3 linked regions of the Mus musculus genome follow. The protein of the gene in region 1 interacts with the protein of each later gene in a pairwise test. Links are inferred from orthologs where the notes say so. Each region holds a gene or a part of one and is shown on either strand. Other genes may lie near its edges.

Region 1 (3,617 bases):
CTGCTGAGACCCACTGAGCCTCTCCTCGGTGCTGGCCCTTGTTGTTCCCAGCTCTCCCTACTTAAGGAAGCCATCAGACGCAGGCTGTCCCTCTGTCCCTCACAGAGCACTTTCTCTTCAGGTTGTGCCCCGTGCCTTTTCCTTTCCTTTTCTTTTTTCATTTGTGTGTTGGTGGTAGCAGAGGTCTAGCGCAGGGGCTGAAGCCTGCAAGGTCAGTCCTCCAGCACCAAGTGACAGCACCAGCCTCTCATCCGCTTCTTTTCTTCTTTTAAGATGGGATCTCACTCTATAGACTAGCTCGACCTGGAACTCAAAGTGACCCAGCCTGCTTGGTGCTGGGATTAAAAGTGTCTTCTGCTGCTGTCTGGCCATCTTTTTAAGAAGTTAGTTTTTTTGGTTTTGTTTTTGAGTAGAGTCTTGGGATCCTAGCTGACCTGGAACTCAGAGTGAAGACCAGGCTGGCTGCAGACTTGCAGCTATCCTTCTGCTTCAGCCTCCCAAACGCTGGGATTACAGTGTGAGCGTCTTCCTGGGTGCTGGGATTACACACCTGTGCCACCATGCTTGTCTGAAAAGGGGCCTCTGCCTTGTTGGCTTTTATGGAGAGAAACCATGTTTCCGGGAGCCAGCAGCACAGCTATGCTTGCCTGTCTTGAGCTGCTATCCTTAGGCAGTTTAGAGACCAGAAACCACAGGGCTACTTGGCAAGTGGGGACTTCTGAGGGGAAGGGGTGAGGGGGACTCCGATGTCTCTTCTCTCCACTGGGCCCTTGTCTTGTCCCTCTGCCTAACAGCTGCCTGAAGGGAGGGAAGCTGCTGCTTTGTCCTCGCCTTCTCTCTTGTCCTCAGCCCGAGGCTGCCGCCCATGCCCGCCACGTTCCCCCTGTGACTCTGGAGAGGGGAGGATGGACCCTCCTTGCAGCCAGTGCTCTCTCTCCTGTCCTGGTTCTCCTCCCTGCTCCCCACACACCCACACACAGGCAGAGAGAGCACCTAAGCTCACACCTAAGAGATGGGCCCAGGCCTGTTCTTTTTCTTCTCCAGGAAGGAAGGGATGGAGGGAGGACGGAAGGCAGGGAGGGAGGGAGGAAGGAAGGCAGGGAGGGAGGGAGGAAGGAAGGCAGGCAGGCAGGCTTTTCTAAGAGACTCTAATGTGCAACAACCCGATTGAGCTTCATTTCCTAGATTCAGGGAGATGTCAACCCCTAACAAAACAGCACTCCTAGGCACCTCCCTTCCTTCAGCACTGTAGTGACCTTCCCTGGTTGGAAGATGTAGTTGTTGATGTGTAAGGAGTGTCACCCTCAGGTCTAGGGTACAGTGTTCCCTCTCTGCATGTGCCTGACTTGATTGTTTGGGTGCAACAGAGTGGTCTAGTAGCAGGGGCACATGCCACGCTTCTCAGTGCTGGGGGCTATGTCCAGCCCTTGCCTAAGGTGCTCCTGGGATACTTGTAAGGTGTCCCTTTAATAGTAACCCGCTGAGCTGTCGCTGCTCCTCCATATCCCGAGCTGTCTGGCCCCACAGTAGCCCAGAAACCAGGCTTCTAAGCACACACTCTGCCAATAGTCCTCTTCTATCTATGAGTTGGTATCTTACCTTGTACAGATTAAACCTGCCATTTTACATTGAGAATATTGCCCTTGCCTCCTCCTCCCCGTCCAGCATGGGCGAAGAGTCAGCTCTATGGACTTGTTTAGCCAGGGAAGAAGATTTACTTTTGGGAGGGGGAGGTTAGGAGAGGTCAAGTTTGTTTCTTGCCCTGAGTGCATGGTGTATGCCAGATAACTGGGAGAGGCTGAGGGAGGGAGGCTTATGTACAGAGTGGGTGGGGGAGGCTACACTGCCTCTGTCCCTAGCTAAATCAGGGTGTTAATACTTATACTACCAAGGCTCCAGCTTTACCAGGAGGCTTCTCTTTCCCAGGCTGAGCCTGGGTGGGAGGCTTGGAATGGAGCCCCCCTTCTTTCTCCTTGGAAAAATAGAGTGCAGTGGCTTAGTAGTTTGGGGGCTTTGTGGGATAGAAGAAATGCTAAGGTCCCTGTCCCCTCAGGAGGAACTGAGCAGCACAAGCGTGGAACACATCATTGTCAACCCCAACGCTGCCTACGACAAGTTCAAGGACAAGAGAGTGGGAACAAAGGGGCTTGGTGAGCCTGGGCTGGAGGCTTGGGGAGGGGATGCGGGCGTGGTCCTAGAGAGCGAACAAGCTGCCTGAGCCCTGCGGATCCGATCCCTTGTGGAGCCTTCTGGGACCAGCCCTCACAGTCACCTTGGTCTGGGGCTGAACTGGGCCTAGACCAGCTCATTCAGTAGTCTTCTTCTCTTGACAGATTTCTCAGATCGCATTGGAAAGACCAAGAGGACAGGATATGAGTCTGGAGACTATGAAATGGTTTGTTGTGTGATGACCGTGGGGTGAGCCTAGAGCAGGCCTGCAGGGGAGTGAGCAGTGTTAAGTTTGGGGCTTTGTTTCTTTATTTTAAATTTCTCTCTCTCTTATTTTTTTGTCTTTGTTTTTTGCCTTGGGGATTATTATTATTTTGTTGTGTTTTTGTTGTTGTTTCAAGACAGGGTTTCTCTGTGTAGCCCTGGCTGTCCTGGAACTTGCTCTGTAGACCAAGCTGGCCTTAAACTCAGAGAATCATCTGCCTCTGCCTTCCAAGTGCTGGGATTAAAGTCTTGTACCACCATACCTGGCTTTGGTTTTTGTTTTGTTTCTTTAAGATTTATTTATTTTTATATTGTGCAAATGAGTATTTACCTGCATGAATGTACCATGTGTGTGCCTGATGTTTGGAGAGACCAGAAGAGAGCATTGGATTCTGTAGAAATAAGGTTACAGATGGTTGTAATTCACCTTATGGCTGCTGGGACTGAAGGTCTCTGAGGGCAGCCAGTGCCCTTAGCTGCTGAGCCTGAGGGATGTAGTCTTAGTCTGAGTTTGTCTGAGTGTCATCCACGCAAAATACATTTGAGAGTGTTGTGCTCCCTGCTACAGTTCTGGAGTCTCCAGATCTCTGTTGTCTCCCTCTCTTCTGTAAGAGGGTAGTGAGGATCCAGGTGGTAGAGGGATACCTTATGACTTAGGTCCAAGGTTTGGATTAACTCCGAGGGCTCCCTCTAATGGGACAGGTAACATCAACTTCCTCCTTGTCTCTAGCTTGGAGAGGGTCTGGGAGTGAAGGAGACACCGCAGCAGAAGTACCAACGACTACTGCATGAAGTCCAAGAGCTGACAACTGAGGTGGAGAAGATCAAGGTAACGTCCATACCCTGGCTTCTGAGTGCCTGGGCTGTGAGGTTTCCAGAGCTGGGGAATACAAATCTATATTTAACACTGTTAAATTCAGTGCTGTTCTAAAATCTATCCTGGGCACGTGGCAGTGGTGACTGGAAAGATTAAGAGCACTGGCTGCCCCTTTGGAGGATCCAGGTTCTATTATCATCACCCATTTAGGGCCTCCCAACCATCTGTAACTCTAGTCCCATGGGATCTGATACCCCCTTCAGGCCCCTATGGCCACTGCATGCATGTGATATACACACTGCATGCATGTGGCACACACATTGCATGCATGTGGTACACACACTTCATGCATGTGGTATACACACTG
Region 2 (4,099 bases), on another chromosome or scaffold:
CTTTGGCTTTGCTAGAAGGAAACTGAAGTTTATGTCAGTGTCCCAATCCTTAAGGAAGACAAGGTTTCTCCTTTTATATGCAAACTTAAATGCAGGACACACCCCTTCCCCTCGAATAGAGCCTTCAATAGATGAGACAGTGCTTGCTTCCAGCTGGGGGCCTACTGGCCAGGCCTGGCCTGGCACCAGGCACCCTGTGGGGCCTAAGTCCTTGTCTCTGTTTTTGCTCCAGATTCTTGACACGTGGCTCAGCAGCGGAAGCGGGAAGCAGGCCCAGAGGAGGCAGCAAGGCCCTCCCTAGGTCTCTCCTAGGCCATTTCTGGCAAGCCTGAAGGGGTAGACCCTCACCCTCCTCAGGTTATCTGGGGACCATCAGCCTCTGCGGGACAGGCTCCTGTGGCACATTCTCCTTCCGCACTCCGGAGTGGGCATACTGGGGCTGGAATAAATGCCTCTCTGTTTGGGAGACAAAGAACAGAGTGGCTCCTTTGGGTCAGCAGTCTCTCTTGGCTGCCTGAGCCTTCTCTCCCCCAGGCCTCTTCAGTGGCTCCTAGACGCCCCAGGAAGGAGCTTTTAAAGACAGACGGTGGAGCTGTTTTGCCGGAGCTTAAGGGAATGCGTTACCTTAACAAACCCCAAGCCTGCTGCTCAAGAAAATATTTATTGGTTGGGGGTGCAGGGGTGCAGCTGGCAAGGCAGGATGCCAGGCTGGGCACAGAGAGAGGGTGCACGCCTGTGTAACAGAGCAGGTGAACGTGTGGTATGCGTGTGCTCGATCTCGCGTGCAAGAGCTTGTGTGAGGAAATGTATTAAGATGTGAGTCTGTGTGTGTGTGTGTGCCAGTTGTGTGTGGATCCTAGCTGGCGTGCGTGAAACTTCTGCACCTGGGTTTGGGGTGGAGTACAAACCGTTTTGAGGGTGAGTGTTAACGTTAACTCCTGGGTAGGAGTAATGGGTGAGGGCGAGTGTGCAGGTACGCGGTGTGCAGTGGAGGGTGTGAGCCAGCTCGGAAGGGGCAGGCAAGGTGCGCCTGGGCTCGTGCACCAGTGGGTGTGCGCACAAGGGTGTACCAGCCTGTGTCGGGTGGATGGGTAGGATAAGAGGGGAGGCATGCGCCTGGGGTGGGCGCGTGCGCGAGAGTGCGCGTGCCCCCCTCCCGAGCCCGTTACCATGGGAACGCGCCGCGGCCTGAGTTAATCATTTCCTGTGGAAAGTGCGGGAGGGGCGGGCACGGGGCGGGCCAAGGAGGCAGCGGCGGCGGCGTGGAGCTGCCTCGCGCGGGCGGGCGGGCCGGAGCCGGCCGGAGCGGGCCGAGCCCGGGGCGCTGCGGTGGCGGCGCTGGGATCCTGTCTCCGCTAGGCCGGTGAGTCGGGTCCCGGCAGGCTGGGGGTGGAATGGGACGGGCTCCTCCCGGCGCTCCTGCTGGGCGCCGCGCCCGCCCTGCCTGAGGACCCCCTCTTTCCCCGACCCGGTGGGTGTTGCGATCAGGCCCCAAGAGACCCGGCTGAGCGCGGGGCTCCCACTGTATTGGTCCAACCGGAGGATCTTGCAGAGACCTGGGCGTGAGGGTGGCACAGCCTCTGGGGTAGCGCCACCAAGACCGACTCCTTGGAGGGGGAATGTGCAGTGCCTACCTGGGAGCTGCGGGTCAACCAGTGAACCCCCTCCCCCTGCAAGGGTCGCTTCCAGGAAGGCTACTGTTTGGGCCCTCCCTCTGTGTCCCCCGAGTAGTTCTCCCCCATCCCCCGGGCAAGGCCCGAGGTGGGGTGCGGCAGCCCCTAGGTTAGGAGGGAGGGCCTCAGAAATACCCTCTCAAGCTGAGAGGGATCAAGTCATTGACAGCTGCGGCTGAGGAATCCCTGCAGGGAGGGGAGCCCAGAAGCTGTCTGTCCCCTCAGCCTTTCCACTGCAAGTAACAGGAGAACTCTGGCTGACACAGTGAAAGGCCGGGTCCTGAGACATTTTAAAGAGGAAGCTGGATTTAAATTCTTAAGTAGTATTTGTCACCCTTCCAAAACATACACACACACTTTAATGCATTTCTCAAGCTTGGGCCTTGGGACTACCCCTAGCTTCACCTTCCTTAGTGTCCTTCTGCCCCAGACTGGGTAAATGCCCTTCCTAGTCTGGTAGGACTTATTCCCCATGCCCTTCATAAAGGGGCAGTCTCCTTGGCTAGAGAGAGTCATTTGCTAGGAATGCAGTCCCAGAATGGTTTTGTGTATTGGAGTGGTTGGACTTCAGGGTTTGGGGATGGTAAGTTCTGCTGTCTGTATGGGTACCAGAGAGCAGAAAATTTGAAATCTGGATGCACCAGAACATGTGTGTGCCAGGGATACCCTAACCCAGTCTAGCCATGCCCCCTCCCCCAAATGCTCACCCAGGAGAACTAAGCTATCCCCTGCAGTGGTGTATAGGTGACTATGAGGTCTACACACACACACACACACACACACACACACACACACACAGAGAGAGAGAGAGAGAGAGAGAGAGAGAGAGAGAGTGAGTCTTTGCCCTGTCTCTGGTTTAAGACAGGAGGAAGGCAGATCTACCATCCTTAGCTAAACCCAGAGAAGCACATGCCCCTCCCCCAAACAGCTTCCGCATTCACCCACCAATGGGACAGTTTACCAAGAGATAGCAGCATCTTGGGCCCTTTGCCTGTGTCCATACTTCATATGTGTATTTTCTGATGTCAGCCCTGAGAAGTACAGTTTTCACCACTTGATACATGAAGATGATAAGGCAAAGAGCAGGTAATTAATTCTTCTAGGTGGCGGAGCCAAGGTCTGACCTAGCCCATAGCTCTACTGCATGATTTCCAGGTCACTAGAGGTCCCAGGACCCCAGACCTAACACCTGTGTAAGGAGATGATGCACTTGTCTCTTGGCCTAGAACCCTGGGCTTGTTTGAGATTCCTTGATACTCCTGACCTCACACCCGGGTTTCCAGCTGCTAAATTCAGCTGCCTTTTCCTCTTGGGGACCTAGCACACACCCTTCCTCTTTCTCCAGGCTGCCGCTCCAACTTCCCTTCCTGATAGCACAGAAATATGCTCCCCCACCTCCTTGACTGAGCTGATCTCTCCTAGAATCCTCTGCCCGTCATGGTCTCAGCTTGGTACGAGCACCCACAGAGGATGGTCCTCCCAGCTTCACCCCCTGGCCTGCAGGGTCGGCTTCATGCACTGCATCAGGCCACCTGGGTAGGGCATTTGTATCTGCTCTCTGCTCCTCTGGCTTCTCCCACTTTACACCCATCTCAAGGCATCCATGGGATGGGGGATGGGGTTGATCAGCATCTTTCTGACCCCTTCCCCCCACATTCCTGTCCTCTCCCAGTGAGTACCCCACACTTGACTTGTCTTCAGTCAGGGGAGGAAGAGACATGACCCACTGTCTTCAGTACTTGCCCCTAAAAGCATCAGATCAAAAGTCTTCAGTCTCTGACTCCAGATTCTTGCTATTTGTTTCCTGTCTCTAGATGCATTGTTCCTGTACCTCTGTCTACCCCTACATGTCACCTCTCCCCTGTTCTATATAGCATATTCTCTCAGCTCCATCTCCTCATCATCCTGGCTGAACTTCCCTCTAAGAAGGAAACAGCTGCCTCCTAGGCCCTTTCCAGTCCCTTGAGTCGCTTTGAAACGGCTTTGCAACCTAGGCTGGTCTGGAACTTGCAACCTTTCTTTTTGTTTTTTCGAGGCAGGGTTTTTCTGTATAGCCATGGCTGTCCTGGAACTCACTCTGTAGATCAGGCTGGTCTTGAACTCTGCCTGCCCCTGCCTCCCGAGCGCTGGGATTAAAGGTGTGTGCCACCACGCCTGGCTAGAACTTGCAACCTTTTGAGTGCTAGGGAAGGTAGGTGTGAGCCCCTGTACCTGGCTGGCTCTCCCTGCTTTTGTTAAAGAGGTCCCTAGGGCTTTCTTTTAGTTGGCTATGGCTACCTGACTGTCCTGCCCTTCCTACTTGCTCTCCAGCCGCTTCTGAGGACTTCGTGTATGCGCTGACAGCTCCTGCCACTCTCAGACCTCTGGCCTTCAGGGACTGCTCCCCCCAACCCCGACCCTCCAACCCCATCCACGCCTGTCCTTAC
Region 3 (4,398 bases), on another chromosome or scaffold:
CTGTATAGCCAGCCACTCACCCTATTTACTACCCCATACCTCCCCAAGTTATCTACCTACAACACTGACCAGGTCACTTCCTTCTGCAGACTGTGGCAAGTTCACAGAAAGAAGCTCAAATACATAATGGTGATGCAAGAACTCCTGTCAGCATCTGAGCTGAACCCCCACCTTTCCAACCCTCTCTCACTTATCTGCCTACACCAGAGGCAGGCAGAGACACCCTCGTAGGTCTCTCTGCAGGCTGTGATCTTTGATGCCTCCAATGAAATGTTTTTTCCTCAGTAAAAGCTTCACTCATCTTCAAGCAGCTTTGGTAACCCTCCTCTCTGCTTCCACGTTTTGCATGCAATTAATTATAGCATTTAAGTCATTCACTGTAATTTAGACTTTGCAAGGTGAATCTTGCCATATTCCCTTTTTCCTTACCCCGACCCTCTACAACCGCCCCCCCCCACCATCTTCCTGCCTAGTGTAAAATACAGCAAAGCTTCAATAGAATGTCCAATAATCAATATTGTAAAACACAAACCACACGTTGAGAAATGACACAATTATTCCATACCAGTTTATTTTAGATAATGTGCTTCAAAAACTTTATCATAAATAACCTTTCACATCATAAAATAACTTAGTAAGATTTATAATAAAACTTCTGAGAATTTAACATCTCATCAAAATACATTTAAACTGTGGCTTGAAAATATGATTAATCCTCTTTTACTTTCCTTTTATTTGAGGGCATAAAGACCAAAAAAAAAAAAGAAAAAAAATACCCAAACTATTGCTATACATTTAAAGTTTCAACAAAGCAATATTTGGCTTATTTGAAAGTAACCTGGCCATCCTAAATTAGCAGTTTTCTTTCTTGCAGTGCTTTGTAGTTTTTGTCCCTTTTGCCTTGGATTTCTCTTTTCTCGCAGCTTCCTTCTTCAGGCTCACCTCTCTCTCCCTCTGCAAAGTCATCTCTGAGCCCTCGTGCAGTTGAACTCGGCCCCTTGACATCAGTTTCTGTAATCCTTGCATCAGCGTGGGGAGTGACTGCTTGAGTAACTACAAAGGTATTTCAAAACTTCAGTGCAATTTGGTTCAGTTATTTCCATTCGGATGCCATCACCGTTCCGGGAGATTAATCACGGGCACCCACTGATCCATGTAGCGACTTTCCCGGCAAAAACAAATAAGTTGACTTAAGGCAGGATCCTTCCATTGTGATGAATGTGGGTTCTGTGAACAGATTTTGAAAAAATTACTTCCCCGGAAAATAATCAGCTTCTGCTACTAATTGTGCTACTTTTGAAAGGGCCAAACCCCGAACATTCTGTTAAAAACAGCATCTAGCATAGTCTAAACACCTGTAACGTGCACGGAACTACACAGAGTTTTGCATATTAACTACCCCATTCTGCATGAGGTTACCATTCTTAAGACCTCCCTTCCAAGCATGTACCCTGGTGGGTCATAAGTAAAAGACTCCTGAAAAGCATTCTCAGGCTGTGTGCACGGTGAGGGCTGCAGGGCAGGCAGCTGCTGAACTCTTATCTTCCCTGACGATGAATAGCACATTTTACTGGCAGCAACAAGTAACCAGGCAGTCACTTCCCTACACAAGTCAGAAGAGAAAGAGTACAAAAACAAAAAACCAGAAGACCTAGACAGCACGGTTCTTTCTGAAAACACTATCAACCCACCACACATTTTTAAGCGGTGGGGAGGAGGGAGCTCGTTTAAACAAACTCAAGAGCAGCAAAGAAAAGAATTCCACTCGGTACACTTCAGAGTATCTATCTATATCCAGGGAATTAATAAGGTCTGTCTCCTACACCACTTCTACCTTTAGCTTTGACAGCAAATGAAGAATGAAGCTAACTTCTTAACGAAGGGTAAACCGGGAATTTATTTGGCTTTATCTAATCTGTTCTGCTCAAAGAATTAGCCACGCGAGGTTGTGCAGAGGTAAGCAGAGGTAGCAGCTGGGCAGCTTGCTGACTCACAGGGATATCTTCCGCCGCTGGAGGCCACCCACGAGCTTAGACACGCTCCGTACCCTATCACAACCCCCGCGAGATCAGCGTTCAGCTCGGACAAGGTCCACCCCAGCAGATTCTGGGCTGCAGCCCCGGGTCTCTTACCGTCACCAGCACACAGTGCAGGTCCGGGGTCTGCGCGGCGCCCCCGCTCTCCGCCGGGCCCGCGTCGTTCTCCAGTAGCAGCAGCTCAGCTAGCCGACCCGGGTTGCTGACCCGCAGGATGTTGATGTCGTTCTCGCAGCAGAACGCACGGATGAGGGTGAAATGGATCTGCAGAGCCACATCCCGGTCGTCGTCTTCGTCAGCAGCCAGCAGGCACAGTACCACGTTATCGGGGTCTCTGCGGGCAGCGGGGCAGCGGTGAGTTGCATACGCTCAGGGGGGCGCGGGGTAGAGGCGGGTGGGTGGGCGAGCGGGGAACGCGGGCCACTTACACGTTGAGCAGCTTGGCAGCCTCGTACACGCCGACCGTAATGGTGCGCTGACTCCGAGCCTTGCTGAGCACTTCCTCCAGGGCATCGCCCACCGTGTCCATCCTGCGGGCGGCAGGGTGAGAGCGGGTCAGCCGGGTCCCCGGACGCGAGGCGGGAGGGGCGGCGGCCACCGAGTCGGCAGGCACACTTACCTTTCGGTCTTCTGCTCTGCAGCCGAGAATTCCTCCAAAGTCATATTGCAAGTGCGAGTCCCTCCCTCGGCGCGCGGGCTGCTCCTGGCCCCCACAGTGCGCGGCGCCGGCTCTGCGCTCGCTCCCACCCTCCCTTCTCCGCTCCGGCCGGCCGGCTGCTCGCCTAGCCTCGCTGGGGAACTCTGCACTGCTGCCTCGGGGCCACTGGAGGACAAAGGGCCCGATTCCGGAGATATGGGGCTAGCCCTCAGCCAACCAGGTCCAGCTTCATTTGCATGCAGTCAGGCCATTGGGTTATGCAAATTAGCAGACGTTGACACCCAGACCCTCGCTCCACCAAAGCAAGGCAGAGTTGAGCGGAAAGGGGCGGAGCTACGCGGGAGGGAGCCCACGGGACGAAGGTGGTGCTGAAACCCGGTTGGTGGGGTCCTGAGCCAGCTCTAGGTAGTTTGTGGAGCCTTCTGGTGCGGAGGGCTTTGCAGTGGTTCAAGTGTCCTCAGCTCTGACTGAAACAGCCTGCCAATTGTTTTTCTGGTTGTGGACATCTTTTGATTGTCGTTTCGTGCCCTTTGTGTTAAGGGGCTGCTTTTTAAATTTTACTTCCAGGGATTAATGCACTCCAGTCTAGCTGTTGTTAGTAAGCATATTTTTAAGTGTCCAGACATGCCGGGCAAAGCTTGCTTCAGTGTTTATATGCAAGTTTCAGGTAAACCTGCTTATTCCCAGTAGTAGTCTTTTGGTGCCCTGATGGCTGGTTTGATTTGGTTTTGGTTGGTTGTGAGAATTTGAAACTCCAGGGAGAAGAAAAAAAAAAAAAAAATCGCATTTGTGTGTAGTGGTGGCACAGTACCAAGTTGGAATCTTTTCCACAAAAAGTTGGTGAAATTTCTGCCTACTCCATGTAAGGTGGGGAGCTGGTGATCGCATGTTTAACGAGCCAAATTCACCGTTCTTAGAATCCTTCCTGAAGAAGGCTCCTTCTGATCAAGTAAGAGCTAAGAGAGAAATTCTGTGGTATTCAGAGGTGCCATCATGGAAATTCGAGGTGCTCACGATGTTCCCTGAGCGTCCCATCACAGGCAGAAGAGTATGACACCACCTTTACTGTCTATGAGCTCACTCTGAATTACTGAAGCTGAATCATGAAGCTGTAACTGTAGTACATTTTAGCCATGTGCTCAAATTTCACCTTTGAGATAATAGCAACTTGTAGGTAGAAGGCAAACCCTCGTAACTGCAAGCAGGAGTTACAAAGTAAAAACAATTTTTAATGCAAACTTTTACTGGATAGCTCAAAACTCTCTTTGTTTTATGAGCTTATTCAGTAAATACAAAAGCATTGCCTGAACCTACTAGTCACGGAGAGTGGTGAAATTGCAGCCCATATGCTTGCATTCTTAACAGTGCTAATATTGAGGTCACTGGGTAGCTTACAGTTACAGAAGTAAATTTTGCAGAGGTACATGTGAGTTATCCTTAAGATTTTTTTTGCGGGGGGAGGGGTGGTTTTTCGAGACAGGGTTTCTCTGTGTAGTCCTGACTGTCTTGGAACTCACTTTGTAGACCAGGCTGGCCTCGAACTTAGAAATCCGTCTGCCTCTGCCTCCCGAGTGCTGGGATTAAAGGCGTGCGCCACCATACCCGGCAAGTTTTTATTCTTGTGGACAAAATATTTTCAAATTCTCTTAATCTTAACTTAATGGATAATTTATAGGTTGGTTTTCTAGTTCACTTATTGGAGAT

What was found.
Region 2: the proteins of Dctn2 (region 1) and Kifc3 interact in binary tests that used the Homo sapiens proteins (3 or more experiments, as listed by UniProt). The two-hybrid records come from large-scale screens. The link is inferred for Mus musculus from reciprocal best matches to the Homo sapiens genes DCTN2 and KIFC3.
Region 3: the proteins of Dctn2 (region 1) and Gadd45a interact in binary tests that used the Homo sapiens proteins (3 or more experiments, as listed by UniProt). The link is inferred for Mus musculus from reciprocal best matches to the Homo sapiens genes DCTN2 and GADD45A.

Annotation. Positions count from the first base shown.
Region 1 is NC_000076.6:127,272,661-127,276,277, forward strand, and holds part of Dctn2 (dynactin subunit 2), read left to right. Parts: intron 1-2,053; coding exon 2,054-2,150; intron 2,151-2,333; coding exon 2,334-2,395; intron 2,396-3,163; coding exon 3,164-3,262; intron 3,263-3,617. UniProt on the Homo sapiens protein: Part of the dynactin complex that activates the molecular motor dynein for ultra-processive transport along microtubules. In the dynactin soulder domain, binds the ACTR1A filament and acts as a molecular ruler to determine the length.
Region 2 is NC_000074.6:95,139,696-95,143,794, reverse strand, and holds the start of Kifc3 (kinesin-like protein KIFC3), read left to right. Parts: upstream 1-1,237; 5' UTR 1,238-1,363; intron 1,364-2,475; exon of another isoform or gene 2,476-3,209; intron 3,210-4,099. UniProt on the Homo sapiens protein: Minus-end microtubule-dependent motor protein. Involved in apically targeted transport. Required for zonula adherens maintenance.
Region 3 is NC_000072.6:67,034,546-67,038,943, forward strand, and holds Gadd45a (growth arrest and DNA damage-inducible protein GADD45 alpha), read right to left. Parts: upstream 2,863-4,398; 5' UTR 2,700-2,862; coding exon 2,656-2,699; intron 2,567-2,655; coding exon 2,465-2,566; intron 2,391-2,464; exon of another isoform or gene 2,371-2,390; coding exon 2,133-2,370; exon of another isoform or gene 2,054-2,132; intron 1,228-2,053; coding exon 1,114-1,227; 3' UTR 551-1,113; downstream 1-550. UniProt on the Homo sapiens protein: In T-cells, functions as a regulator of p38 MAPKs by inhibiting p88 phosphorylation and activity.